Linked DNA regions of Ovis aries. The protein of the gene in region 2 interacts with the protein of the main gene of each other region in a biochemical or structural test. Links are inferred from orthologs where the notes say so. Each region holds a gene or a part of one and is shown on either strand. Other genes may lie near its edges.

Region 1 (4,296 bases), on a different chromosome or scaffold from region 2:
AGGCTCCTCTGTCCATGGATTTCTCCAGGCAAGAATGCTGGAGTGGGTTGCCATTTCCTCCTGCAAGGGATCTTCCCCACCCAGGGACTGAGCCTGTGTCTTCTGCATTGCAGCCAGATTCTTTCCACTTAGCTACCAGGGACACCCTGTTTGATAGCACAATAGAAGGTAAAGCATGGGTTGGCAAACATTTTTTGTAAATGGCCAGACAGTAAATGTTTTAGGCTTTGTGGGCATTCAGCTTTAACGTGGAAGATGTCATAGACAAAATGTCAGTGAATGAGATGGTGGCTATGTTTCAATAAAACATAATTTATGGACCCTGAAATTTGAATTTCAGAATTTCCATGTATCATGAAATATTCTATTTATGTCTCCCCAAGCTTTAAAAAGAGTGTGAAGACCATTCTTTGCCCACTGAGCAGGAAAGCTAGAATAGGGTTGGATTTGCCCTGCAGGCTAGTTTGCCTACCTGGTCATTCCCTGCACCTTGTGTATTTCGTTGTTGCTGTTTCCCAAAACACTTATCACTCTTTAATAGACTAGATAATTTATTTTTAAAATATATTTACTGTTTGTGATCCACACCCCTCTTTTCCCTCTCAGCCTCCAAGAATTCAAGCTCCAGGAGCTGCAAGTTATTTTATTCATTGATGTATCCCAGGCTCCTAGATAAAATGCCTGGGACACGGTAACAGATTATTAAACAGTTGTTGAATGTATTAATCAATTCTAAAAGAAATCATCTCTGACTATTCATGGGAAGGACTGACGGTGAACATGAAAACCCCGATACTTTGGCCACCTGATGCGAAGAAAAGACACTGATGCTGGGAAAGTCTGAGGGCAAGAAAAGGGGAGGGCAGAGGATGAAATGGTTGGAGAGCATCACTGACTCAATGGACATGAGTTTACGCAAACTCCGGGAGATAGGGAAAGACAGAGGAGCCTGGCAGTTCACGGGAGTCACAAACAGTCGACACGACTTAGACGTCTGAACAATAACAACTCGTATAATTAGCAACCTAACATACAAAACAAACCTATAAACCTTCTTCCGTGGACCCCCAACCCTAGGAAAGTCCACAACTTGCGGGGGTCCTGGTGCCCACTTTTCGAAATCCGCCCCTCAACCCCCCAGCCGAGCACACGCAGCTCACTCCCCGTGACGCAGCCTTGACGCCACTAGGAGACGGCCAAGCGGCCGCCCGCTAGGCACAAACACCAATCCCACGTGACCGGCGTCGCACCCGGTGAGCGTCACGTGACTGACTCAGTTTTCCTCCAATCGTTGCACACGTTGTGGGGATTCCATCCAGGACCTGACCTGAGCCTTAAAACACCCTATGCCCCTGCCAGCCAAACTGGCCGGCTCCGTCAGCAAGCTGGGCGGCGGTGTCTCTTAAGAACCTACTAGTAAAGCCGCTTCGGGGAAGACGGGGCCTACAACGTGCTCAGTCCCGGAAGTGACGGCTCCCAGAGGGGCCGGAAGTGGCAGTGGAGGGAGGGAAGATGGCGGAGGTGGTGAGTCCGGTGCCCGGGGCGGGGCGGAGGGAGCCAGGGGAGGTGGGTAGAGCCCGAGGCCCCCCAGTAGCCGACCCTGGCGCCGCGCTGTCTCCCCAGGGGGAGATAATCGAGGGCTGCCGCCTGCCTGTGCTGCGGCGGAACCAGGACAACGAAGATGAGTGGCGTGAGTGACGTCGGGGGGCGGGGCTAAGGAACCTGAGGGCGAGGGGCGGGGGGAGAGTCAACCGAACCCCGGGGAGGGGGTGGGGCCTCTAGAATCCTGGAGCGGGCGGGGCGCAGATACTCAGGAGGGGCGTGGCTTTTAGCCTTTAGAGCTGGTCAGGGCAGGGCTTGAAGAGGGGATGGCACTTGGTGACTAACCGGGGCTTTTGAGAGCGGTTCCAAGTGCTGGGGCTTTAGGGTTCGGGCCTGGTGGTGGAGTTCAGATCGTAGGAGGGTGGAGCTTCATGGCCTGGCCAGTCTAAGGCCCTTGCCTTTGCTGTTCCCACAGCACTCGCTGAGATTCTGAGCGTGAAGGACATCAGTGGCCGGAAGCTTTTCTACGTCCATTACATTGATTGTGAGTTCTGGGCCGGGATGAGGTGGGGCTGGAGGGTTGGGGGGCAGCCTCTGGCACTCCTTCCTGAGCCATACCCACTGCTGCAGTCAACAAACGCCTGGATGAATGGGTGACCCACGAGCGGCTGGACCTGAAGAAGATCCAGTTCCCCAAGAAAGAGGCCAAGACCCCCACTAAGAACGGACTTCCTGGGTCCCGACCCGGCTCTCCAGAGAGAGAGGTGGTGAGTAGGTCCCCTGCTTCACCTCTTCTCTCCTGCCTACTTTTAAAATCTCTTGGCCTCAGTGGCTCCCAGATGGGCGACAGGCTGTGCCCTCCCACCCTGGCTTCAGCTTGTAAAGGATGGGGCCCAGACTGCAGATGTAGCTTCCAGAGTCCAGTGACTGTACCTGTGTCCTTGAGAGGGCAGAGGGTGGGGTTTGATCACTCCATGCCGAGGGGACCCTACTCCCCTTCCCCATCCCACCACCATCCCAGCCCCAGAGGAAGACCCTGGACCTATCTCTACAGCCGGCCTCCGCCCAGGCCAGCGGGAAGACTTTGCCAATCCCGGTTCAGATCACACTCCGCTTCAACCTGCCCAAGGAGCGGGAGGCCATTCCCGGTGGCGAGCCCGACCAGCCGCTCTCCTCCAGCTCCTGCCTGCAGCCCAACCACCGCTCAACGGTACCCTCAGCAATTCCAGGGACCTTGCTTTCCTCTCAGGTCCCACCTTCTCTACCTTCTGACCCACCTGTCCTGGTTTCTCTCTGCAGAAACGGAAGGTGGAGGTGGTTTCACCAGCAACTCCAGTGCCCAGCGAGACAGCCCCGGCCTCAGTTTTCCCCCAGGTGAGTCCCCCAAGCCATCTCTTCTGCCCTCCTACCCTCTGATAGCCCCTTTGGGCTCACCTCACAGCCACTCTTTCTGTCCCTCCACTATCATTTGCAGAATGGATCAGCCCGGAGGGCAGTGGCAGCTCAGCCCGGGCGGAAGCGGAAATCAAATTGTTTGGGCACTGATGAGGTAGGTCTGGGGAGGAGGGAAGGGTGAAACGAAGGGGACATAAGGAGGGCACGGGGTTTAGTGACTACTTTAAAAATGAACAAGGGGTACTGGGCAGAAAGGGTGTTGGAATTAGGGGTGAGGCGGAACTGATTCAGATCCTGCACTAGGTGATCTTTATCACCTTCCAGGTGAAAATCATCCAAGTCTTGGTTTCTTCAGTTGGCAAGTGGGGATTGCAGTACCTCCCCTAGGAGGGTTGCTGTTAGGAAACCTGTGGAAGGGCTGTGAGCTGTGGAGTGTGCTGCTTGCGTTGTCTTCTGTAACCTGGTATCTTTCACGGGCCCTGGGAAGGACTCCCAGGACAGCTCAGATGGAATCCCGTCCGCTCCTCGCATGACTGGGAGCCTGGTATCTGACCGGAGCCACGACGACATCGTCACCCGGATGAAGAACATCGAGTGCATCGAGCTGGGCCGGCACCGCCTCAAGCCCTGGTACTTCTCCCCGTACCCTCAGGAGCTCACCGCGCTGCCCGTCCTCTACCTCTGCGAGTTCTGCCTCAAGTATGGCCGAAGCCTCAAGTGTCTGCAGCGTCACTTGGTATGGGGAGTCCCAGGGGCCACCCTCCTAGCAGCACCCCCTCACCTCCGCCCCTGTGCCTGATCCTCCTCTCTTCCTCAGACCAAGTGTGACCTGCGACATCCTCCTGGCAATGAGATCTACCGCAAGGGCACCATCTCCTTCTTTGAGATCGACGGACGTAAGAACAAGGTCAGGGGCTGAAGGGCAGCGGGAAGGCTTTGGTGCCGGGAGTCTGGGGGAGTTGAGTGAGTAGCTTCTTCCAGCTCCGGAAGACACTGACAGTTACAGGGGACAGATCTCTTCACCGCATTTACTGCATTCTTGCTGTAGGCCGGGTGCTGGTAGATAAAAGTGACCAGGAATTTGACAAAATCTCTGTTCTCTGAGAGCTCACAGGGGAAGACAAACAGGCCAGTAGCAGTTTGGATCCCAGTGTGATATGTTTCATGAGAAAAGTGGGCTGTCAGGATCCCAGGGTGATCAGCAAGGCTTCAAAGAGGAGGTAACCTCTGAACCTTGACACAAGGGTAGGGTGGGTACAGGAATCCCCAGCAGCGGGTTCTGAAGGGCAGGAGTGGACGTACTGGCAGAGCCCAGAGATCCTGCAGGTTCAGTTCTAGACCACTGTGACAAGGTGAGCG
Region 2 (3,500 bases):
TAGATGTAGTTAAGCATTCTTTCCTGTTAAGGAGAGATGCTTATCTAGCCATTTGATACAGTGTCTGAAGATAAATACATTGTTAGCCCCAAATTAGAAGTGTAAAACCATTAACACCAAATCTAAAGAGGATATGGTTCCTCTGACAATGGCAGATCACGCGATGATACCGGGGAGGCTAGTGGAAAAGAGAGGACCGTGCAAGTGAAGGACGTTTTGTGTGGGACGTTTTACCAGAAATATAATATTAAGTCACTGATTCAAGATAAACTCCACAGGCCGAATTCCCCTCGTGGTTTTCAGAGTTCAGCCATCTGTAAACCTGGCGGGCCACTCTCTTCTGCTGTTTCTGTATGAGGAATCCCAATGTAAAGTGTGTGGGTTGGGACTTCCCTGCTGGTCCAGTGGCTAAGACTGTGCAGTCCCCGCGCAGGGGGCCTGGGTTCAATCCCTGGTCAGGGAACGAGATCCTGCATGCCACAACTAAGACCCAGTGCAGCCAAATAAATTAATTCATTAATTTTTTTTAAAATGTGTGCGTTAACTGTTTGCAGTCTAGTAATTGGTGAATGGGTGGCAAAGAAAGGCAGATCTCCAGGCAGATCACATCTGGATCACTCCTGCAGCTTGATAGATCCACACGGGAGCTGAAAGGATCTTATGCAGATTTCAAAAGTGCAAAAAAAATAAAAAACAACAACAAAAAAAAACAGCAACATCAGCTATGACGAGGAAAAACAAAGAAACCCACCTGGGATTCATTTGCATGTCCATACCCAGAATCCTCTGCCAACTCAACATTTTGAAAATGCTGAAGGGATCTTTTTTTAAAAAAAAGAAAAAAACTGGAATGGTTTGGCATGATGGTGGGGGCTGCTGATTCCTTTCTCTGTCCTTGAGTGTTTACTGCCAGGAAATCCTGACCAACGTCGATTGCCAAGGGGTTACCAAGTCACATTGTTGTTAAATTGGGAGAGAAAATTTGCAGGATTTTGTGCGTTCGGTGCAACTATCACAGAGTTTCAAAAACAGGAACCTGGGGCTTTATATGAGGGGACAGGGGAAGTCGAGGGGGAAGAGTCACAGGATGATTTATCAGGGCAGAGTTCCAGAGAAATTGCTTACATGGAGGTGGGAGAATGTTATGCATCCATTCTGTGCCAAGAAGCTGAGGGACTGAGGTCATCCAGAAGCTGGGCAGATGAGGTACTGTCCTTCCACACGTGAAGAGGGGATGACTTTATATCCTTGTTATTTGTGTTTGTACAGGTGCAGGTGGACTCTTCAGGTGCCCTCAGATTTCTCATAGCAGTAAAGAAAGCCAGCCTCTTGGTAGCATAAATTAAAATGGGCCACAAAACTCTTTGAGATCAGAAACCACCTTCTTCTAGGTTCTGTTAAAGCTAGTGTTTGTCAGCATCAGAATCTGGCATTCTGGAAAAACTCAACACATGTTAACTGAAGAGACTGTCCATCTACTCTGTCCTTTTTTTTTTTTTTTTTTCCCTCCCATTAATAATATAGGTCTGAAGTAGAGAGAAAAGCAAAATGCCTCAAAGCAGTATGAACTATTCGTTCTTGGCTTACTTGAAGCCTGAAGAGTCACCAGGCGAGCTTACTCTTGGGTTCCTCTCATCTGTCCTACTTTGTGGTTTTGTATTTGCTAAACAATACAATTGGAGTGATTTTTTTTTTTTGGTTTAAAAAAAGTAACAATTTCTGGAATAACTCCAGTGAATGTTGTTGAAATAAGAGGCAAGTTTGGGAATCCACTCAACATCTAAAACCCCTTAGAATTCGTGTTATTTCCTTCAGTGCAGAACAGACTTAATAGTTTGGTGAAGGGAATTCCCTGGTGGGCCAATGGTTAGTACTTTCATTGCTTGGGCCCAGGTTCAGTCCCTGGTCAGGGAACTAAAATCCTGCAAGACATGTGGCATGCCCCTCCCCAAAAAAGTTTGATAACAATCTTAGACTACTGTAGAGATTAATAGTTTAGACTGTCTGAACCAGTGGGTCTTGAAGCTGGCTACTGCTGGCTCTCATTGTGTCTGCTTCCTCTTGCCAAAGAGGAGAGAATTCTCATTATCTCTCAATAAAGCTTTTCAAAAGAAGCTTTATTTTTAGTACATCAGAGACTTCATATTCAGTGGACATGTGTGTGTATGTGCACACTCACACAGATACACACACACACACACACACACACACACACACACATATCACAGACACTATTTCCAAGAAATGCAACTAGCATATCCTTAAGAGAAGAGTTGGAAATCTTTGCAATCCACTTCAAATGAGAAATTCGAGGGCTAGGAAAGATAAATGACTTTTCTAAAGTCACAGAGTTAACCACAGGACCAAAGCTGGAAGCCAGATACCCTCAACTCTTATTCCTTGCTTCTGAGTAAAACACATGACTAGCATTGAGGGGTAGCTCCTTACAGAGTTCAGTAGGTATATACGTGTGTGTGTGTATATATAATTGTGGTCACTTATTCAGAGTAGCCTTGAGAATTTCACAAGGACCACAAACCTCTGGTTAAATCTATACAAGGAAATGAAAGAGAAAGATTATTTCGTGGACAAACCCAGCAGGCTTTTGCTAGTAGCCTATTGCAAACCTGAATAACTGATAAACGAGTTTTATTGATTCTTGACCCTTAAGGACATATACTTTGAAAAATAAGTTCCAACCTTTTTTTAATTTGCCACTTTTGTAGTGTTTGCCCATAGGCCTTATGCAGCTGCTCTTTCTGAAACAGATTGCTTCCAGAGCATTAAAAAAAAAAAAGAGGAAAGAGAGAAACAGACATTTTCTTGACTCAGTGTTTTCAGTCTGCTTTCAGACTGATTTTTCTGTAGTTAAGTATAGTTTACATATACATTATGTTTCATTTAAGCTCTGAGAGGATTTAATCTAAAACTGCAAGATTACTTTATGTCCAAGTGGGTCTATTCAACCCTAAGTTGCTAAAATAATTGTTTTTATTGAAAGAAGGTTAAAAATGTATCCCATTGAAAGCTAGAATGAAACAGTAGATTTTTGCATCATTGTTTAAATCAACAACAAAGACCTTCCAAACAACAGGAATTGGAGCTACTAGCGAGTCACCGGTTGTGGTATCATATCACCAGTGTTGGTGAAATATGTTTGGTTCCAGAAGACAGCTTGGAGGATTAATCAAGACATGAGTATTTTCTCATTGTTCAGTGTTTTCAACTTGAAAGATTTTCGTTAGCAAAGCAAGTGTCTGTGAAGAAGCTGGGATGGTATTGACCGTGAATGAGAAATTTCCAACTCAGCCACTTTCTCCCATTTTTCTTTGCAGCCGTTTGTTATCTATGACATGAACTCCTTAATGATGGGAGAAGATAAAATCAAGTTCAAGCACATCAGCCCCCTGCAGGAGCCCAGCAAAGAGGTGGCCATCCGCATCTTCCAGGGGTGTCAGTTTCGCTCCGTGGAAGCCGTGCAGGAGATCACCGAGTACGCC
Region 3 (4,236 bases), on a different chromosome or scaffold from region 2:
CCCTATCTTTGCCAGGAGGACGGGGGTGGGGTCGAAGAGCGGTGATGGCGGCGCGGGGTGGATACCCATTACTCTGTGCCGAGTTTAAGTCTTTCCAAACCGGGGGACTTCTGCCTCGGAGAGATTCCCTGCCGTGCCCTCCCTTCTCGAACCCTATTCATAGTCATCACCTGTCATTTAAAGATCTATTTCTTGTTTTCTCAAATGATAAAGTCTTCCAGATAAGCGAATCTGTTTCGCTTCTGAGAGTCTGCCACCGAGGGAAGGACAGCATTGTGTACGCAGAAAACGTTCAGACATAAACGAGTTAATTAACAAACTGTTTAAGCCCCAACGTCGGTTCCGGCGGCGCCGAGGAGTGCTGTTTGAGGGCAGTTTTCATCCAGTTCACAGCCCTCAAGAATGCAATCATGAGACAATTAGAGAGAAGCCACAAGATAAATCTATAATCAACTCCTTAAGGGATGAGGTCAAGGCCGCTTCAAGTGTAGCTTCTGTCTGTCCTGTCTGTTGAGGGCGGTAACCAACCTGCCAGCTCTCGGGCCACACCCTTGGCCAACTCCAGTGGGCCGGGGCTATGTAAGGTGGGGTGGGAGAGGGTGGGTACACTTCCCCAGTGCGCCAGCTTGTCTCGGAATATCAGGGTGGAGCGAACTGCTGGAGTCGGGTGGGTTCCGAGACCACAAAAGGGGAGAGAGAGGTCTCTGGCGTATGGTGAATCCAACCTCCAGTGGGGCACACCTGTCTCTCTTTCCAGCCTTGCGGGCAGCTGGCCCCTGTGAAGTCATCATCGGCAAGATATGGCTCAGAGCCATCCCCCAGGCAATCCTGAGCTCACCGGACGGCCCAGGGAGAGGTTCGAACCGGTTATGGGAGTGTCAGGAGGTCTTGGAAGCTCAACACCATCAACCCAGGCAGAGCCAGGGCCACCTGGGCTCGGGAGGCAGGCTGCCAAAGCCCAGACTCTGGAAAGCGCCCCTCCACCACACCCCACCACCGCCCCCACCCCTGCTGCATTCTGGAACATGTAGTCCCGGAGAGACTCTTTTCCGAAAGAAGCGAGTAATCACTGAAAGGGATACCCGAGCGGGGCATCCTGGGAGCCGCGCGCGACTGTGGGGAGCCGGGAAAGCGGACACGCAGAGCTTCCTGGAACTTGAAGTCCAAGGGTGGCCTCCGCGGTGGAACCGGAGTCCCCGGGAGGCAGGAGCTGCAGCGAGCCCGAGCGCAGCCTGCTGGGGATTGTAGTCTTCTTGTTGCCTACGGCCCCTGGCGCTACTTGGACACCTGGCGTCCTAGGACTACAAGCCCCAGAAGCCCATGCGCAGGCGGGAGGGCGGGGCAGGGCCCGGAGGCTGGGGTACCGCCTCCTCTGCAACGCCGGGCCCGGAGTCTCAGAACCCAGGGCCCGCAAGGGTCCTCGCGCGGCTGCCGGGATGCAGAAATACGAGAAACTGGAGAAGATTGGGGAAGGTAATGGGACCGCGAGATGCTCCTGCAAAATCTTCTTCTGCAGACCCTTCAGCATTCCTTGCAGCCCTGGCTCCTCTACCGTCAGCAATACCCACAGATTCCGACCTCAGCACTGGCTGCAGCCCTGGCCCCCGAGCTCAACACTCCGTGCAGACAGCAGTCCTCCCCCTGCTAGCGTTTCTCATGGACGCCTGCCTCCCCACCTTAGCACTCCCAGTGACCCACCTCCCGACCTCCACACGTCCTGCATTTCCTCTCCATCCTCAGCACCTCTTGCACAACCTCACCCACCCCCAGCCTCAGTTCTCTCTGCAGACCTCCAACCTCTGCGTTCCTGCCGGCCCTTATTCCTCTCCCAGACCCCTGCTCCTTAGTTTCAGACCCCAGAAGCTCGGCCTTTGTGATAGACCTCCTCACCTGGCCCCTGCAGCCTCTGCCTGTTGGAGACACCCTTGAGCCATCTGCAGGCACCTCTTTGCCACATCACCACACACAGAGCTCTCTGCCGTGCCCAACCTTTACCCCACATCTCTTCCCTTGCTCCTCCAGTATCAGCAATAACACACTCCCATGCTGCTTGCTGTCCCGGCAGGGGCTTCCTGAGTTGGGAAAGTGTGCCCCATCCTTTCCCTACGCCTCCCCTCCTTCTTCTAGGCACCTACGGAACAGTGTTCAAGGCCAAAAACCGGGAGACTCATGAGATTGTGGCTCTGAAACGGGTGAGGCTGGATGACGATGACGAGGTAAGACTTGGGCGCCAGGGCCAGGGAGGGGCTGGGGGCCTGGGCCGGGTGGGATATGACTGTGGCCACCTGGCCCCTCCAACGTGTAGGGCGTGCCGAGTTCTGCCCTTCGGGAGATCTGCCTACTCAAGGAGCTGAAGCACAAGAACATCGTCAGGTGTGTGGGTGGGCTGGGTCAGAGGAGGTGGGGGCTTCAGAGATGTGCTGGGCTGATATTGGGCTCTTAGGTGCGGGCTGTGGCCCTGCCTGCCCAAGCCCTCGCTTCTCCCCAGGCTCCATGACGTCCTGCACAGCGACAAGAAGCTGACTTTGGTTTTTGAGTTCTGCGACCAGGTGAAAGGGGGGCTGGAGGGCCAGTAGTCTTGGGAGGATACAGGGACCCCAGCTGAGGTTCATCTCTGTCCCATCCCCCACCCCCATTCCTTTTTCAGGACCTTAAGAAGTATTTCGACAGCTGCAATGGTGACCTAGATCCTGAAATTGTGAAGGTAAGGAAACCGGTTTCCTGGGAGCTCGTTGAGGCTGGAGTTGGACTCTGTATTCAGTGAACATGTTCCCAGGCCCCACATGGAGACACTCAGGGAACGAGGGGAGGAGAAAACCCTGTTTCTGCTTCTAGGAGCCTCCGTCTTAGTGATCATTTTCATGCGACCGCTTTAACCTGAAAGGAAGTCTGATGTCAGTGATAGGATTTGAGAGGTGGGAAAATGAGGTTCCAAGAGAGATTCATTAATCCCACAGATTCTTATTGAATGCTGTGTGCCAGGCACTGTTCTAGGCCCGAGTGCCCTTCCAAGTTTCCAAGGAAAATAAGTGCTTGATGACTGTTGTTCAGCTGCTCAGTCCTGTCTGACTCTCTGCAACCCCATCAACTGCAGCACACCAGGCTTCCCCGTCCTTCACTATCTCCTGGAGTTTACTCAAACTCATTCCATTGAGTCAGTGATGCCATCCAACCCTCTCATCCTCTGTCATCCCCTTCTCCTCCTGCCCTCCATCTTTCCCAGCATCAGGGTCTTTTCCAATGAGTTGGCTCTTTGCATCAGGTGGCCAGAGTATTGGAACTTCAGCCTCAGTCCTTCCAGTGACTATTCAGGGTTGATTTCCTTTAGGATGGACTGGTTTGATCTCCTTGCTGTCCAAGGGACTCTTAAGAATGATAAACAATAACACAGCACAGTATACACATGGATGGTTATGATGTCCATGTTCAGTTGAGGCCAGGTAGGGGACAGACAGCAGTGTGGGATGGGAAGGCAGGAAGCCCCACCAAGCTGCCAGTTCCAGAAAGATGGGGACCAGGGCTCCCCCATTCGGCGTTCATTTCGAGTACCCAGCAGAGTACAAAGAAGGTCCTCAGTAGTGAAGGGGTGAGTTGCCCTGAGCTTGGTGCTGAAAGATGGCTGGGGTTTCAGGGCCCGTGATTCCCTGCAGGGTGCACGTCCCATCCAGAGGGTCTGATGACCTCCTCCCTGCCCCGCCCCCAGTCATTCCTCTTCCAGCTGCTGAAAGGCCTGGGCTTCTGTCACAGCCGAAATGTGCTGCACAGGGACCTGAAGCCTCAGAACCTGCTCATCAACAGGGTACCTCTGGGGAGGGGGCAGGGCGTCTGGGAGGCCGGGGCAGGGTGAGGGAAGCCAGGCAGGAAGGTGGGAGCAGGGGGCCTTCCCTCAGACTGTGAAGAGCCCCTCTCCATGCCTGTCTCCCCCCTCGATCCCCAGAACGGGGAGCTGAAACTGGCTGATTTTGGTTTGGCTCGCGCCTTTGGGATCCCCGTTCGCTGTTACTCAGCTGAGGTGAGCTGTGGGGGTGAGGGTGGGATGTGGGAAGCGAGGGAGGGGGTCCCCAACGAGCATCGCTCAGCTCCTCCTCCAGGACTCCTGTCTGGGCACTCTCCTCCATCTCTAACTGGGGGTTCCTGTGGGCGGGGTCTTCTTCTCCAGGTGGTCACGCTGTGGTACCGCCCACCCGATGTCCTCTTTGGGGCCAAGCTGTACTCCACGTCCATCGACATGTGGTC
Region 4 (4,269 bases), on a different chromosome or scaffold from region 2:
TGGGTAGATATAAGTTCTGATGGCTTTTCCATCCAGCCTCTTGAGTTTTGCAGTGGGTGCACTGGAACTCGTATTAATCTGAAAGGTATACATATCTAAATTTTAAAAGAAGGACCATGCTAGCATCAATGATGATTGTGTGTCGTTAATCAAAGATTATAATTAATCCACTCTGTCTTCCTGAAGACTGCCTCCTCAGAAAAAGTAAGGTGCCGTTTCTAATCCGGGGCAGCCACAGGAGAAACCGAAATGAGTGGGAGGGGTGGTAACTGTTTTCACTTTTCTCTTCCTGTTTTTTTTGAGCCTGGGAAAGCAAGTCAGAATTTCCAATCTTTTCCAATTCCCACACGATTCCCTAATTTAGAACGAACTTAGAGAAAATAAAAACCCTTCCTGCATCTGGGGAAGACTGCCGCCAGCCGTGGAGCATCCTCACTGTGGGATGAAAAATCCTCTCAGGGGCGGTGTGTGCTCCAGCCCGACCCCCAACCCGTTCGTACTTGCTTGTACGGGGTTAAACCTTGGGGGACGATACCCTCGGCGAGGAGTCACAGGACGGTTTATTAGTGGAAATTCTTTGGGAAACTTGGACCCCAGCAGGAAGCCATGGGAGGCAGGCGTGGGGAGGAGGGGCGGGTAAGGGAGTTCAAACGGAACAGAGGTGTCAGGTTGCAGAGACAAGCTCCAGAGATTTACCCCCGGGTGACTACCCCTCTCCACCCACTGGCCCCGAGGGTCGGCAGTGTGGAAGATCTTAAACCGACGAGCCTGCGGGTACTGCGCGAGCGGAAGCGGAGCGGAGCCTCTGATCACGCTGACGTGCAGCAGGCTCCGCGAAGGCCACGGTCCGAGTAGTGCCAGGTGGAGAGGTCCAGGCCACTTCTCTTTTTCCTCGTTGCATCCAGACTGGGGTGGACAGGAAATTAAAAAGTGCTTGTGCGGCAATAACCATCAAGAAGCACTCTTATTGACTAGGAAACCGTGAAGAGTTGAGCCACCTGGCCTTGGCGGGCGAAGCAGGCCGGAGCCTTTCCTGCGCGGGGCGGGCGGTCGAAGCCCGGCAGCCCTAGCTTGGCTCCAGACCGGCTCGGGGTGACATCACCAAACTCCTCCGATAGGCGGGAGGTGGCCCCCGAAATCCCCTAAAAACATAGTGAGTAATCGGAGGCCCCGCCCTCCAGGCGGGGCCCAGACTCGGGAGCGAGCCGAGCTGCCCCGCCAGCCCCGGGAGCGGCCTCCGGGAGAGCCGCCTGTCGGTGCCCCGCGCGGCGCGCACTAGCTCCGGGTCGCCGGCACAAGCAGCCTATCCACCCTGCACGCGGCCTGCCCATCCTCCGCGCAGCGCGCGTTCGCCCCTGAACCTCTCCCGGTGGCGGCGGCACCCGCAGCAGCGACGAGGGCGACGGAGACGCATCGCGCAGGCGCGGTCGGATTCCCGGCAGTGACGCGACGGCGGGCGCGCGCGGCGCATTTCCGCCTCTGGCGAATGGCTCGACAGTAGCGCGCGCCGCGGGCCCAGCTGCGACCCCGGCCCCGCCCCCGGGACCCCGGCCATGGACGGTGAGGGCGCCCCCTGACCCCGCGGGGTGGCGGCGCTGGGGCCGCGGGGATCGCGGCGGGAGGCCCCTCACCGCCTTCCGACCCTTCGTTCGCTGTTGGGCGCTGCGCAGGGAGCGGCCGGCCGGATGGTGGCGCGGGGCGGGGCGGGCATCGAGGGTTCTGACTCAGTTTCCCCCTGGGTGTGGGGTGTTGGGGGAAGCGTTAACTCAGTATCCCCCCGGGACCCGGGAGTGGGGCTTGGGCAGTTCCACCTTAGTTTCCTTGTTAGGGGAGAATGTATCTGACTCAGTTTCCTCTCGGGATGGGGGAGTGCCCTCCCTTAGTGTAACTTAAAACAGAAAAGGCCGTGACTCAGTTTCCCCTGGTGGAGGGAGGCGGCCATCTCTGGTTTCCCTCAGGAAAACGGTGCTTCTGGCTTCCTTACGCACACCCCAAGTTTCCCTGAAGGTTCCAGGTAGCAGGTCTGACTGAGTGTCCCCGAGAAGGAGCCTGGCTCCCTCTCCTCACCTCCGGGAAGCAGGCCTTCCCTGATGAGGACAGGATGTGGGCTCCTGCTGACCCTTGTCTCCCTCTCCTTTCAGACTTCTTCCCCATCATCTTCTCCGAAGGTAAGTGGCCCATCCTTTCTCAGTGGGTCGGGAGGAGCTCCCCAGGGTCAGGGGCGATGGGGTCAGTGGCTGATGGGCCTGGCCCGCGTGTCCCCTGCAGAGCCTGTGCAGGCCTCTGGCCCCTATGTGGAGATCATTGAGCAGCCCAAGCAGCGGGGCATGCGCTTCCGCTACAAGTGCGAGGGCCGCTCAGCCGGCAGCATCCCTGGCGAGAGGAGCACAGACACCACCAAGACCCACCCCACTATCAAGGTCAGCAGAGCCCCAGGGCGGGGGACCCAGAGTCAGTAGGGCTGGGACTTGCTTTCAGCCCCCACCCCCCCATCCCGAAATCTGTGTCTGGGAGTTGGGTCTGGAATTCCAGCCCTCTAGGGTGCTCTCTGTACTTTGGACAGATCAATGGCTACACGGGGCCAGGGACAGTCCGCATCTCCCTGGTCACCAAGGACCCTCCTCACCGGCCTCACCCTCACGAGCTAGTGGGGAAAGACTGCCGGGATGGCTTCTATGAGGCTGAGCTCTGCCCGGACCGCTGCATCCACAGGTGAGCTCCTTAGGGGTGGCAGGGGGTGGAAGAAGGTGGTGATGAGATGGGAATCGGAAAAGCAGGCAAGTTATATTGCTGTTACAATGTTAATCGTTTCTGGACAGAGGGCAGAATTCCTCACTGCTTGCTCCCTCTCCAGCTTTGCAAGCTGATTCTTTTGTTTTGAAATTGTCTGTGTGTCTCCTCTCTCCAGTGGATAGGAGGAGCACCCTGTGAGTTCTATGGCAAAGGTGTGGGTCCCTAATCACCCCTGAACCCCTAACCCCTGGGGCTGGAGTGTCACATCTCTTGTAGTCAGAATGAAAGCCATTGAACCAACGGTCTCCCCTGAAGCTTATGTACTGGTTGACAGAGGCAGACCATAAATAAATGTACAAATAACTGAACAAGATACTGTTAGAAATCACCATTTCAGTGATGAAAATGAAGCAGTAATAGGTTGGAAGAATAGCCTGAGGTGGCAGGGAGTGAAGGAGCTGGTCCCACTCCTTTGGGCTGGGACGTCAGAAAGGCTTCTCGAAAGTAAGACCTAAATGTGAGAAAGTAGAGAAGCAGGGAAGGAACATGCCCAGCAGAATGAACAGGTGCAAAAGGCTTTGAAATACGAATGAGTGTCATGTCTTTGGAGAGGGTAAAAGAAAGCCCTGGGGCAGAGGGTAGGGAGCTGGCAGGGACTGTGGCTGGGGCCAGGCGGCAGGGCACAGGGCCTTGTCAGCCAAAGTAAGGAGTCGCTTTCAGTGTGGCACAGTTGGGTGGGGTGGCATTTAAGGGGGTTAAGAATAGAATGATTACCTGGTGAGTGGGGGAGGGGATAAGGGGCAGAGTGGGTAAGGCAGGAGGGCCCAGGCTCTGCTGGAGACAGTGGAGCTTATGCCTCGGGGGGCCTCAGCTTTCAGAACCTGGGGATCCAGTGTGTAAAGAAGCGGGACTTGGAGCAGGCCATCAGCCAGCGCATCCAGACCAACAACAACCCCTTCCAAGGTGAGGGCGGCCACGGTGGAGGCTTGGGCCTGCCTGGAGCACCTCCAGCTGCTGTACCCTTCTGAGGCCACCTTCCCGTCACGTGTCCCTCACCGGCCAAGATGCGGTGCCCATTCATTACATACACCTGTTCAGTACATTCTACCATTGGAGAAACAGACTGAGAGCAGGGGTGTAGGGGACAGGACATTCAGGGTCACAGGTGGAGTCAGTGATGGGTCTAGAACATTCCCACCACCCTCTTCTAGGACTCCTGCTATTTCACACACCTTCCAACAGCCCTCCCAGCCCAGAGCTACCCGCACACCCTGCTCCGCCCCAGCCCCACCCCCAGCCCAGGCTCTCCTGACCATCGGTTTTTCTGACAGTTCCCATAGAAGAGCAGCGTGGGGACTACGACCTGAATGCCGTGCGGCTCTGCTTCCAGGTGACAGTGCGGGACCCGGCAGGCAGGCCCCTCCGCCTGGCGCCTGTCCTCTCTCATCCCATCTTTGACAACCGTGAGTGGTCAGGGAGCCGCATGAAGGGGAGGGGGGTGGGCCTGTGAGGAGGAAAGGAGAGGTGGGGAGGGGT
Region 5 (3,500 bases), on a different chromosome or scaffold from region 2:
ACTGAAGAACCTTGCAGTGTTAATCCTAGATTACTGAGAGGAATAAATATTGCCAAAGAAATATTATTCCCATACAGATTGATAGTAGTAAAGAATTTAACTTAGAAAGAGCTACTGGAAAAATCAGATAACCAAAGAGTTTACTAATTTTGAATTCACGAAAAATACAGGTTGCTAATATAAATTATTTTTTGATTTATAAGATTCAAGAAGAAAGTGAATATGATATAGTTTTATAGTACCACCAAAGGCATACTGTAAGAAGACTGAGAGAAAGGTAGTGGGTTGGCCAAAAAGTTCATCCAGTTTTTTTCCAGGTGTTATGGAAAAACACAAACAAACTTTTTGGCCAATCCAATAGATGGTTTTATTTTAAACATTTATGTTTAATTAACTAAAGCTCCCCTATTCTCTTCTGTAATTCTAGTAATTTACTTGAATTAACCCGCTTTTATACTTCTTAGTCATTATTTTCTGGTAATAAATGTCTCTGGATTTCACTTTTGTGATTAAAGGCAGAAAATCCAGTTTAGTCAATATTCCTTTTTTATCAAAGCCAAAAATATGACTTAACACTTAGCTTTAGGAAACGAAATATAAATTAATTGCCCTTCCCACTGTGATCTTGCAAAAGACTCATCTTTACCAAAAGGGTAACTGATTGAAAAGGTCTAGTCATCTTAGTATGAGGTTTTAAGCTGCTAAGGATGATAAAGAGCCTTTAAAAGAAAGGCACTTGCACAAAAAAAAAACATTTCTATTTGAGAGACAGAAGGGAGTCTCCGTAAGTAGTTTTCATTCCTAAAACACATATAGCCTCTCTGGTTCCCCAGCAGTCATTATAAGCCTGACATGCTTTGTAGAGTTGTAGTGTGGTAGCAATGGCTAATTCTCAGGCTCTGAATGGCACAATCCCCTCTGAGACTGTACAGACTTAGGAGACATATATCATTTGACTGCAATATATGAACCTTGTTTGGCCCCTTATTTGAACAAATTGTAAAAAAAAAAAATTATTTTGAGATAATCAGGGAAATCTGGACGCTGTCTGAATATGTGAGAATATGAAGGAAGCATTAGTTTTTTCCAGGTGTGCTAATCGTATTGTATGGTCACAAAAAACAGAAAACAAAAACCAAAAACCTGTCCTTATTTTTTCAAGGTACACAGTGAAATACTTAAAGTGAACTTGCTTTAAAATAATCAAGAGGTAATGGGAAGAACATGAATGAATGCAAGATAGATGATGAGCTGAAAATCTGAAGCATGGGGAATTTCATTATACTGTTCTTATACATGCTCAAAAATTTCCATCAAAAAAGGTGTTCACATAGAAATAAATGAGTAAGATTTCAGACAAGACTATCACAACCTACTTTAGATCCTGCTGACTATTCTTCTTCTTCCGAGGGGGCTTCTTCTTCTTCGGTTTATTTGCGTTGCTATTGTTTTGCTTATTGTTTACCCCGAAATGGCCCGCAGAGATATCACTCTGCAACAAGTTGACCAACAATGGGCTCGTCAGCGTGACATCCTTATTGACCGGGAAGCCTGGATTCTGACCACAGGACATCTGATTTCCATTGGGTGCTCCATTGAAAGGTGCATTGAAGGGCATCCCATGGCCTGAGAAGTGGTTTCCCGAGGCACTGTTCCCCTGCATGGCCTGCACGTGGGGGGGGACCATGTTGCTTTGCTGCATGCTAACATCTGGCATCATCTGAGACAAGCTGACATCATTATTTGCTGTCGTAGCAGGATCACCATGCTGCTGGGCCATGTGGGGGCTGGGCCCTGGTGGCCGCAAGACCTGCCCCTGCATCCCCATAACCTGAGACGGACTGCTGTTCACGGGCCCTTGCTGTGGCAGCATCTGTCCTGACATAGGTCCTGTAAACTGCACCATGTTTCCTTGCAAGTTTGGCGTTGGTCCCCTCATTATCTGTGCTGGTCCCGGCATGACATTAGACTGGTTCTGAGTGTTAAACTGTTGCTTATTCCCCTGCATCTGATTGGTCATGATCTGCTCTATCATTGGATTCTGTTGGAGCAAAACTTGCCCCTGAGGCCCCATCATCTGGTTATGTGGTGCCATCATTTGGGGGCCCTGCTGGGGAAGCATCTGCTTGGGTGGGGTCATCCTTTGGGGTGAGGGCCCAAGATTTTGGCTCTGAGGATTCACCATCATCTGACCCTGTGGCATAAGCTGGGCCCTTGAAAGGATCATGGGGTTCTGAGGGTTCAAGGTTCCTTGTTGCTGGACCATCTGGCCCTGGGAGGGCACGATCTGCTGGTGCATGCTCATCAGTTGAGATGGTGGGCCCTGCTGGGGCTGGCCTTGCATGTTGCCCAGGTTCACTTGAGGAACCCCAGAACTACCAGCCTGTTGGTTGTTCATGTTGCCATGAATTCCCATGAGGCTGGGCTGCATCATATTTGGTGGCCCGTGGGACACCTGCATCTGGTTTTGAGGAGGACCAGCTCCTTGACCACCTGAAAAAAAAAAAAGGCACAGTTTCAGAAAGAAATACTATTATCTTCTTGGTATTAAGATTCTCAAATTACCTTAATTAGAAAAACACCCCTCACCCATATCCAGTGATTAGCATAAACAGATGTGTTATGCTTAACATATTTCTGTGAGTTTTCTATAGTATAAGGCTGTGACTGTGGCATACATTCTCAGTGACCATACAATAGAGAAAAAGAAACCATTTCTTTATTCCTATTTGGTAACTTGATAACATTTTGAAGATCAATATAGTTTTCTTTCTCTTAGACTAAACAAAGAGAAAGGTAGCATCTCATTATTTAAAAATAACTTGTAACTACCTTAAAATGAAGAAAATTAATGAAAAGTGTTATGGGATAATGAAATAAGCTCTACTTTAGATGAGACAGGAAACAAAAAATGTGCTGCAGCCTCTTAAGAAAACCTCAGCAAAGTTGAGAAGATGTTTAACAATGCTCCTTGGGAAACTATATTCAGACTCTCCAAGGTTATGGATGTGTTATCTGGATACTGCACTTTAAAGAAAAGAACAGCTAATACTTCCTAAAGATAGGTCTCCTCCACCCCAATGTGGTAAAAATTATTTAATCTTGATCTGGAAGCTGAGCCTCTGGTGGAAGTCAACTGACAGACAATTAAGAAGCTGCAGACAGAGGACAGACAATAAAGGATGATAAAGCTTCAGTGACCCTCTCCTGCAGCAATCCCTAGGAGACCACATGGGACATGTTTTAGTCTTAATTGTTTCCAGTTCAGACAAAGAGCACTTCCTGGTTTGCCACAGTGTATACTTACTGTTAGGTCTTTGGGGTTTTCCTATAGCTGCTTATATTCTCTCTTCCTTTCTGCAGAATAAACTTCTAGCTTATTTTATCTCCTCCCCACCCTTTTCATTTTGAAATGAGGACTAAAAAGTGATAGCCACAATGAAATCATCAAGCCAGTCCATGTTCCAGCCAGGAGGTGAGAGACAAACTGTCCTTTGTTC
Region 6 (3,977 bases), on a different chromosome or scaffold from region 2:
GGGGGGAGCAAAGTCCTCCTCCAGTATGCCAGAAACTGCTTGGAATTTGACACCACTTTGTCCTCACAGCATAGCCCTGCAGGCAGGCACTATTCTGAGTGAAGCTCTGAGGCCCGCAGAGATTTGGGGTTCAGCCCACAGTCACACAACTAGGAAGACAGAGAGCCAGGAGAGGATGTCAGGGGTGGCGACAGTTGCCCAACAGTGTGTCAGCAGAAGGCTTGCCAAGCTGGCCTTGCCAAGGTCCACAAACCTGACATAGCCAAGGACCTTGCCACCAGCATTCACTGCCCAGGCCCCAGCATCCGAGACAGCTGCCTGGGGACAGAGGAGCCATGCAGCTGGCGGCCGAGCAACGTTTCTGTCCAGATCGTAAGTGGGCAACGTCTACAACAGTGAGGTGGGGGCCCAGGTCGTCACCAGCTCTGGCTGCACAACTGGGCCAGTGGGTCCAGGGGTACAAGCAAGGATTTTGGAGTCAGACTGATCTAGGCTCTGTCTCTTTTTAGTGATGTGAACTTGGACAAGTCACTTGACTTCTTTGAGTCTCAAAAAGCAAGCATTTTGCCTCAGAAGGAAGCTCTGAATATTAGAGTGGAAAGTGCCTGGCGCATAGTAGGTGCTCAATAAACAGTAGTATTTCATCATCATTCTGCCAGGGCTTCTCAGCAGACAAGGGCCCTTCAAGAGGTCCAGGCTGGGGAGAGAGAGTTCTTAAGGACCTTATTTTTGCAGGCCTCTCCGCCACCCAGAACTTGGGGTTAGAGGAAGGGGGCCTTCCTCCAGACTGCACAGCCAGGCAAAGTCCTCCCAGCACCCCCAGGATCCTGGCTCCCTTCCCTGCAGCCTGTTCCTTACTAACAACAGGAGCAGGGCCTCAAGGTTAGGCAAACAAGCAAGTGATAAGGCGCTTCCAGGTTGGGCCCTGCGTTCAAGGCTCGTCGGCTCTGGGGCTGGCTCCCCTGCTGAGCGCGAGTCCTGCAGGCACCAATGGGGACACCTGCCACGGCCACCTGCTGATTGTGCACCTGAGGCCTTGGTGCCCTGGTACAGCCTGGGTTAATGACCCTGTTTATCCACTTGAATCATCTGATAAAGGGCAGCGGGGCCAGCGGGCAGGCGGCCCTGTGCCCTGCACCCGCTGCTTCATTGACTGAAGTGATATCGGGGCCACGTGGAGCTCCCAAGTCTCCCTCCCCCACCACTTCCCCCTGGGTCCTGCCAGGGTCAGTGTGAGTTTCTTTTTTTTTTTTTCAATGAACATGACTTTTGGAGTCAAGGTTGTTGGGCGGTTCCCCCCTCCCTCCCCCATTTGGGGATATAAATAGCACCCACAGCACCAAGCCGAGGGTGGGAGAGCCAGCAGGAAGGCAAAGCAGATCCTCGACCATGAGCTCCAGCCAGCCAGGGTCCTGCCCGTGCCAGGGTGCTGCAGGCCGCCCGACCATTCTGTATACACTTCTGAGCCCCAGCGTCAGGGACTGGCCCTCCGTGGCCCCAGCCCGCGGCCGCTGCCTGTGCAGGCAGCACCGGCCTGTTCAGCTGTGTACGCCCCATCGCACCTGCCAGGAGGCCTTGGATGTTCTGGCCAAGACGCTGGCCTTCCTCAGGAACCTGCCGTCTTTCTGCCAGCTGCCCTCCCAGGATCGGCGGCAGCTGCTGCGGGGCTGCTGGGGGCCCCTCTTCCTGCTGGGGTTGGCCCAAGACACTGTGACCTTCCAGGTGGCCGAGGTCCCGATGCCTAGCATACTCAAGAAGATCCTGCTGGAGAAGCCCAGCAGCGGGGCAGGCAGCAGCCAGCGGCCCGATCGGCCCCAGCCCTCGCTAGCTGAGGTGCAGTGGCTACAGTGCTGCCTGGAGTCCTTCTGGAGTCTGGAGCTGGGCCCCAAGGAGTATGCCTACCTGAAAGGGACTGTCCTCTTCAACCCTGGTGAGATCCCAGACACTCCTGGATGAGGGCCAAGGCTGGAGGGGGGCAGGGCTCAGCCAGGGAAAGACGCATTCTAAGGACTTAACAACTGAAATCCCTCTGGGTCCTGATTATCTCCAAATAGCCATCTTGCAAAACAAGCTCAGAGAGGCAAAGCGACTTGCGAAAAGTCACATAGCCAGGTGGGGGAAGAGAAAGAATGGGGACTCAGGTCTACTGATGTCAAAATCTAGTCCTTACTGCTCTGCTAAGAAATTTCCCTGACCCTTAGGGCAGAAGGGGAGGGGAGGGTGGGCAGACTATGCCTCGGTCACGCCTTCATGAGCAGACTGCATGGAGAAGTTCTGAAGATGAAACTGCGGTTTCAGAAAGACCACGTAGAGAAGAGAAATGAAAATGGGGGTGGGGAGGGGGAAGAGGGAGGAGTCTTCGTAAATTTCAGCCAGGACAACAAATAGAGGAAGACTTCTTTGTGATCTGAAAGGCGCTTAGATGAGAAATCATCAAAATGCCCCCAAGGAATGCATGATCAGAGTAATTCATTATAGTAATAGCAAACACTCGCATTACATTTACTGTATGTTAGGTCGAGTTCTAAAGGTTTTATATACACTAGCTCATTTAAACCTCATAACAAGCCTAGGAGATGGGTACTATTATTTGTCCCAGTTTTATCAACGAGGAACCCAAGGCACAGAGATTGAGTAAATTTCCCCAAGGGCACACAGCTAATAAGTGACAGTGTGGGATTAAAAGCCAGGCCCCCCAGGGTCTTACCCATGGCTCTATCCTGCGTCTCCATGAAGGATGGATAAATGAAGTGAAAAATAAATAAATGAAGGAGGTAGTGATGGGGACTCAAAGGCGCCAAGCTGGTGGCCTTGGGTCTTGGGCCAGTCTTGCCCTGTGGTATTGGAGTAGGCCACTCAGCAGCCATCTTTGCCTTCTCTGTCCGCAGAAGTGCCAGGTCTCTACGCCTCCTCCCACATCGGGCACCTGCAGCAGGAGGCGCACCAGGCACTGTGGGAGGTCCTGGAGCCCTGGTGCCCAGCAGGCCAAAGCCGCCTGGCGCGTGTCCTCCTCATGGCCTCCACCCTCAAGTCCATTCCACCCAGCCTGCTTGGAGATCTCTTCCTTCGCCCCGTCATTGGAGACGTTGACATCGCGGACCTCCTTGAAGACATGCTTCTGCTGAGCTGACCTGCTCCAGCCCAAGCAGGGCCTGGGTGGAGGCTGGCAGCGCTGATTTGGCCGGGCTGTCCCCTGGGTGACCCAGTGCTCCCAGAGGCTTCCCCAGAGCAGCTGGCTCCAGCCCAATCAGGTGGGCCCTCACTCAGCCACATCCCACCTTGACCCTCCTCAGTTTGGACACAGTGCTCCAGCTGTCTGGCCAGCCCTTGGTGGTTCCAGAGCCTCTGGGCCAAGACTCCTCTCCCCTCCTGGGGCAGGGTAGAAGTGTCCGCTGTTGGGCCAGGAGTTCTACTGACTTTGTACGGAACTGACTTAAGTTATTGGCTTTTGTAATAAAAGGTGTGACACCCTTGGAACCTGACAGTGTAGTTTGTACACGTGGAAGGGACTGGTTCATCTCCAGAGTCCCCCGGCCCGCCAGAGGAGCCCAAGAGGAAGGAGCTACAAGTGACACACAAGCCAGAACTCAGGAAACTGGAGTTTTGATTTTTCAGGGTGGGATGCTGATTTCATTTCTGGCAGTGAGATTTATTTTACATGGATCTGATCCAGGAGTTAGTATCAGTTCAGGACCCCACACATCCTTGCCCTTATATCAAGGGGTAGGAGTATCCCTCCCTGTTCCTCAAATCCCCTGCTGATCCCTCCCTCTGCTTCTGCCCCAGCCTCCCTCTCACCTCACTGAGAGTCACCAATAAGGAAAATGAAGCAGCCCATTTCCAAATTGAAAGTTTCCGGGAATCTCTGTCGTGTGGGATCATTCACTTCCCCTGTGGCATCACCGACCCAATGGACATGAGTTTGAATAAACTCCAGGAGTTGGTGATGGACAGGAGACCTGGCGTGCTGCAGGCCA
Region 7 (3,500 bases), on a different chromosome or scaffold from region 2:
ATGTTAAACATCACTATGTTGACTGACCAATATTGTTTGTTTCCTTGGGATTTTGCAGAGTGTTATCAGCTAACTCTACTTTCTTGGAATTTAAAAACACACAAGTCTTTTTTAAAAACTAATTAAAACATTTTTTTTAACTGTATTTGAAACTGAAAAGTAATTCACAACAGAAGCAGTCATCTTATAACATTGCCCAGGAGACAGCAAGGAGTGGCATCGAGAGACCCTTGCCAAGTCTTTACTGTTGTGGATATATGAAGCATGTCAGGGAATTTGCATTCAGTAGCATTCAGGGATTATTTCTGCCTTTCCTATTGTTATTTGGTGTTTCAGAACTGGTGCGATCCACATAGGAGACCGGATCCTAGCCATCAACAGCAGCAGCTTAAAGGGGAAGCCTCTGAGTGAAGCCATCCATTTGTTACAGATGGCGGGAGAGACTGTCACCTTGAAAATTAAGAAGCAGACAGATGGTGAGTGGATCAAGAGCCACAATTAAGGATTTCCAGTGCATTTCCTTCCCTAAAAGAATGTGCAAATATCTACGTGTGTATTTCTGGGGAAATGACTCTTCAGCCAGGGGGTGTTGGCATATCTTTGTATTTATATTTACTCTGATACTTAAGCTCTTTTCCTTAAAGCCCAATCAGCATCAAGTCCCAAGAAATTCCCTGTTGCCAGCCACTTGAGTGACCTGGGAGATGTGGAGGACCCATCTCCAGCACAGAAGCCAAGCAAACTCAGTGACACATACCCCTCCACTGTGCCCAGCGTGGACAGTGCCGTGGATTCATGGGATGGCTCTGGAATAGAAAGCAGCTATGGGAATCAAGGTATGTCCTAGCCATGGGGAACCGGAGATTTATCATTGGTGAAGCTCATGTTTCTCAAAGATCCACCTTTTGCTCTAAGAAAAGAATATTCTACTTGTGTCTACATGAATGCAAACATAGCAAACACATTGAATATCGTGGCCTTGAATTTCCTCCTCTTTAATGCTAAACAGTTATGATCATCTATTCAACGCTAGGAGACCCCCGTTAGATCTACTGCTGTCCAAGTGTTCGATCCAGGGCTTGTTCTTCAAGCATAGATTAATATGAGGCAAACCACACGATATGTTGGGTCAGTGAAGACCAGCTGCATTTTCTTACTTTTTCAGCAACCTCTGCACAAAGATGGAATAGAGAATGCTGGAGGCATGCAAGGAGATGAGCCAAAGATTTGTGACCCCATTTATTCCTGCCTCTTCCTGACTTTTCATAGCAACTTGTAGGGGTTTCCTCCAGTACTCATCCTTAGAGTTTTCTATACTGTTAATCCTAGTATGAAAAGTGAAAGTTGCTCAGTCGTGTTCAACTCTTTGCAACCCCATGGACTATACAGTCCATGGGATTCTCCAGGCCAGAATACTGGAGTGGGTAGCCATTCCCTTCTCAAGGGGAATCTTCCCAACGCAGGGAATGAACCCAGGTCTCCTGCATTGCAGGCAGATTCTTTGCCAGCTGAGCCACGAGGGAAGCCCTAATCATAGTATGCAAACATATATAGTAGTTTTTCTTCACAAACCTCATCTTCATGTGATGAAGTGTAACCTGTATGAAAATTTAAACCTCAGAACAGATTCTGAGTACCAAAAAGCGTTAGAAGACAGAATATAAACACTTACCTAATTTATTTTTTTAATATTTATGTATTTATTTGGCTGTGCCGGGTCTTAGTTATGGCACACGGGATCTGTAGTTGCGACATGTGGGATCTAGTTATCTCACCAAGGGTTGAACCCTTGCTACTTCCGTTGGGAGTGCAGAGCCTTAGCCTCTGGACCACCAGGGAAGTCCATAAAGGCTTCTTTTAAAAATATGTTTCCTTCTCAATGATACTTAGCATCCAAAGAGAAGTGAATCAAAAACTCTCTGTATTCTCATCTAAGCTTTGTGTGTGTGTTGCGCTAATCATTCAGGTCTGTCCGACTCTTTGCGACCTTACCGTCTCTCTAATGCTCTGTATAAATTCCAGCCTCCTTTTCTGCTCAAATAGATAAATGGTTTGGAGAACACATGTGTGGATGAGGGAGTTGCTTTGTACATTAGGTAACTACTTTTGAGGAGAATCTGTATCCAGTTTGCTGTCTTCCTGATTCTAGTTTTTTCCTCTCAGCCCACTTCTGCTTATGTCACTTTCTGTTAAATCCTTTGAAGGGTGGAGAAGACAGAAAAGAAATGATATTTCAAAGTTTTCAAGTCATTACTTGTTAGAGATGACATTGGAGTTGGGTGGAAAAAATAAGACCCAAAAGAGGATTGGGGCTTTCATTTATCTGGCAAGTAACTTTTCCAAGTCCAAATACCTTGTGAAAAGTTAGCTATGCCATCAAATAACAGATTATTACTCCCGGTGAGTTCATGAGATCCCAGAGAGCACTCTGGATAAAGGACCCAACTCAAATTCTGTCAGTGTAGACTGAAGTTTATTTATTAATGTGTTTGTTTATTGTTTATTTACTAATGTGGAAACTTTTTGTTGCACAGATTTCAGTGAGCTATTGATTATAAGGAGCTCTGCCCCTAAGTGATGTGTGAGAACTTAGCTACTCTATCCTTACACACAATAAGATCAGGCCCAGGTTTAGCATGTGGAATGTAAGGCTTGTCCCTCATTTATAAAAGATGAAGAACCATTTATTATTTAGGAGAGATTTTGAAAATTTGAAATCCTAGATGGGGAATAGTAGTCATCACAATAAGAAATTTGGCATTTATAAGTTAAAAATCATTACAGGTTTGAAGCGAGAGAACAGAGATATAGAGAAAATGGCAATTAGAACTGACATCTTACAAGATGAAGAAAAATTAATAATAATGCTTTAGAGTTTATAAAGCACTTTTACGTCACTCATTTCAAGTGATTCTCGTAAGGAACATGGAAGCTGAAACCACAGGATTTCGATGTTGGGAGCGAATTTGAAGTCAGCTGGTCTGACACCCGGGGCAGCCCTTGATGGTCTATGCAGCCTGGCTGCCCGCCGTCACACGGCATGGCCTGCAGGGCCTGCAGTGACAGCTTGCTCCCTAACTGCTAAGGCAGCTCTCCCAGCTCCCTGTACCAAGAGCTGACGGCTTGCGTTCTCACTTGTATTGAGCTGAAATGTGTCAGCATGTAGCTTCGGCCTATTAGTTCCAGTTCTGCCCTCAAGGTCATTCTGAACTAAAGCCTTCTCCACTTGACAGCCCCTCAGCTGCTCAAAGACAGCCCTCGTGCCTCTTTTGAACTTCTCCTTCTCGGAGCAAAATAGCCCCGGTTCCTTTCACTGTTCCTCACGTGACTTACTTTTGAACATCTTTATCATCCTGGGAGCCTCTCTTCTGACGATGTTCAAGTTTAACTCTGTACAAGTGTAGTGCTCAGAAAGGAAAGTCATACTACGGTCTGGCAGTCCAGAGCCACTCAAGTAACTCAAGCCTGTCAGCTTCATCCCTGGAGACTGTAGAGCCCAT

The links.
Region 1: the proteins of PPARG (region 2) and KAT5 form a complex in vitro, tested with the Homo sapiens proteins (2 studies listed by BioGRID, with this or other methods). The link is inferred for Ovis aries from reciprocal best matches to the Homo sapiens genes PPARG and KAT5.
Region 3: of the proteins of PPARG (region 2) and CDK5, one has a biochemical effect on the other in vitro, tested with the Homo sapiens proteins (3 studies listed by BioGRID, with this or other methods). The link is inferred for Ovis aries from reciprocal best matches to the Homo sapiens genes PPARG and CDK5.
Region 4: the proteins of PPARG (region 2) and RELA form a complex in vitro, tested with the Homo sapiens proteins (3 studies listed by BioGRID, with this or other methods). The link is inferred for Ovis aries from reciprocal best matches to the Homo sapiens genes PPARG and RELA.
Region 5: the proteins of PPARG (region 2) and NCOA6 interact in a test that uses a peptide from one of them, tested with the Homo sapiens proteins (2 studies listed by BioGRID). The link is inferred for Ovis aries from reciprocal best matches to the Homo sapiens genes PPARG and NCOA6.
Region 6: the proteins of PPARG (region 2) and NR0B2 form a complex in vitro, tested with the Homo sapiens proteins (2 studies listed by BioGRID, with this or other methods). The link is inferred for Ovis aries from reciprocal best matches to the Homo sapiens genes PPARG and NR0B2.
Region 7: the proteins of PPARG (region 2) and GRIP1 form a complex in vitro, tested with the Homo sapiens proteins (2 studies listed by BioGRID). The link is inferred for Ovis aries from reciprocal best matches to the Homo sapiens genes PPARG and GRIP1.

Annotation. Positions count from the first base shown.
Region 1 is NC_056074.1:40,317,854-40,322,149, forward strand, and holds the start of KAT5 (histone acetyltransferase KAT5), read left to right. Parts: upstream 1-1,496; 5' UTR 1,497-1,512; coding exon 1,513-1,690; intron 1,691-2,017; coding exon 2,018-2,086; intron 2,087-2,172; coding exon 2,173-2,309; intron 2,310-2,596; coding exon 2,597-2,752; intron 2,753-2,841; coding exon 2,842-2,916; intron 2,917-3,016; coding exon 3,017-3,091; intron 3,092-3,424; coding exon 3,425-3,673; intron 3,674-3,754; coding exon 3,755-3,844; intron 3,845-4,296. UniProt on the Homo sapiens protein: Catalytic subunit of the NuA4 histone acetyltransferase complex, a multiprotein complex involved in transcriptional activation of select genes principally by acetylation of nucleosomal histones H2A and H4.
Region 2 is NC_056072.1:56,659,704-56,663,203, reverse strand, and holds part of PPARG (peroxisome proliferator-activated receptor gamma), read left to right. Parts: intron 1-3,335; coding exon 3,336-3,500. UniProt on the Homo sapiens protein: Nuclear receptor that binds peroxisome proliferators such as hypolipidemic drugs and fatty acids.
Region 3 is NC_056057.1:115,249,377-115,253,612, reverse strand, and holds the start of CDK5 (cyclin-dependent kinase 5), read left to right. Parts: upstream 1-1,436; coding exon 1,437-1,473; intron 1,474-2,127; coding exon 2,128-2,216; intron 2,217-2,305; coding exon 2,306-2,373; intron 2,374-2,488; coding exon 2,489-2,549; intron 2,550-2,647; coding exon 2,648-2,704; intron 2,705-3,703; coding exon 3,704-3,799; intron 3,800-3,937; coding exon 3,938-4,012; intron 4,013-4,159; coding exon 4,160-4,236. UniProt on the Homo sapiens protein: Proline-directed serine/threonine-protein kinase essential for neuronal cell cycle arrest and differentiation and may be involved in apoptotic cell death in neuronal diseases by triggering abortive cell cycle re-entry. Interacts with D1 and D3-type G1 cyclins.
Region 4 is NC_056074.1:40,279,507-40,283,775, reverse strand, and holds the start of RELA (transcription factor p65), read left to right. Parts: upstream 1-1,469; 5' UTR 1,470-1,553; coding exon 1,554-1,560; intron 1,561-2,141; coding exon 2,142-2,168; intron 2,169-2,268; coding exon 2,269-2,420; intron 2,421-2,563; coding exon 2,564-2,712; intron 2,713-3,604; coding exon 3,605-3,696; intron 3,697-4,064; coding exon 4,065-4,196; intron 4,197-4,269. UniProt on the Homo sapiens protein: NF-kappa-B is a pleiotropic transcription factor present in almost all cell types and is the endpoint of a series of signal transduction events that are initiated by a vast array of stimuli related to many biological processes such as inflammation, immunity, differentiation, cell growth, tumorigenesis and apoptosis.
Region 5 is NC_056066.1:64,076,406-64,079,905, forward strand, and holds part of NCOA6 (nuclear receptor coactivator 6), read right to left. Parts: intron 2,494-3,500; coding exon 1,377-2,493; intron 1-1,376. UniProt on the Homo sapiens protein: Nuclear receptor coactivator that directly binds nuclear receptors and stimulates the transcriptional activities in a hormone-dependent fashion. Coactivates expression in an agonist- and AF2-dependent manner.
Region 6 is NC_056055.1:240,027,629-240,031,605, forward strand, and holds NR0B2 (nuclear receptor subfamily 0 group B member 2), read left to right. Parts: upstream 1-1,352; 5' UTR 1,353-1,389; coding exon 1,390-1,930; intron 1,931-2,888; coding exon 2,889-3,130; 3' UTR 3,131-3,477; downstream 3,478-3,977. UniProt on the Homo sapiens protein: Transcriptional regulator that acts as a negative regulator of receptor-dependent signaling pathways. Specifically inhibits transactivation of the nuclear receptor with which it interacts.
Region 7 is NC_056056.1:153,580,561-153,584,060, forward strand, and holds part of GRIP1 (glutamate receptor-interacting protein 1), read left to right. Parts: intron 1-336; coding exon 337-476; intron 477-644; coding exon 645-836; intron 837-3,500. UniProt on the Homo sapiens protein: May play a role as a localized scaffold for the assembly of a multiprotein signaling complex and as mediator of the trafficking of its binding partners at specific subcellular location in neurons.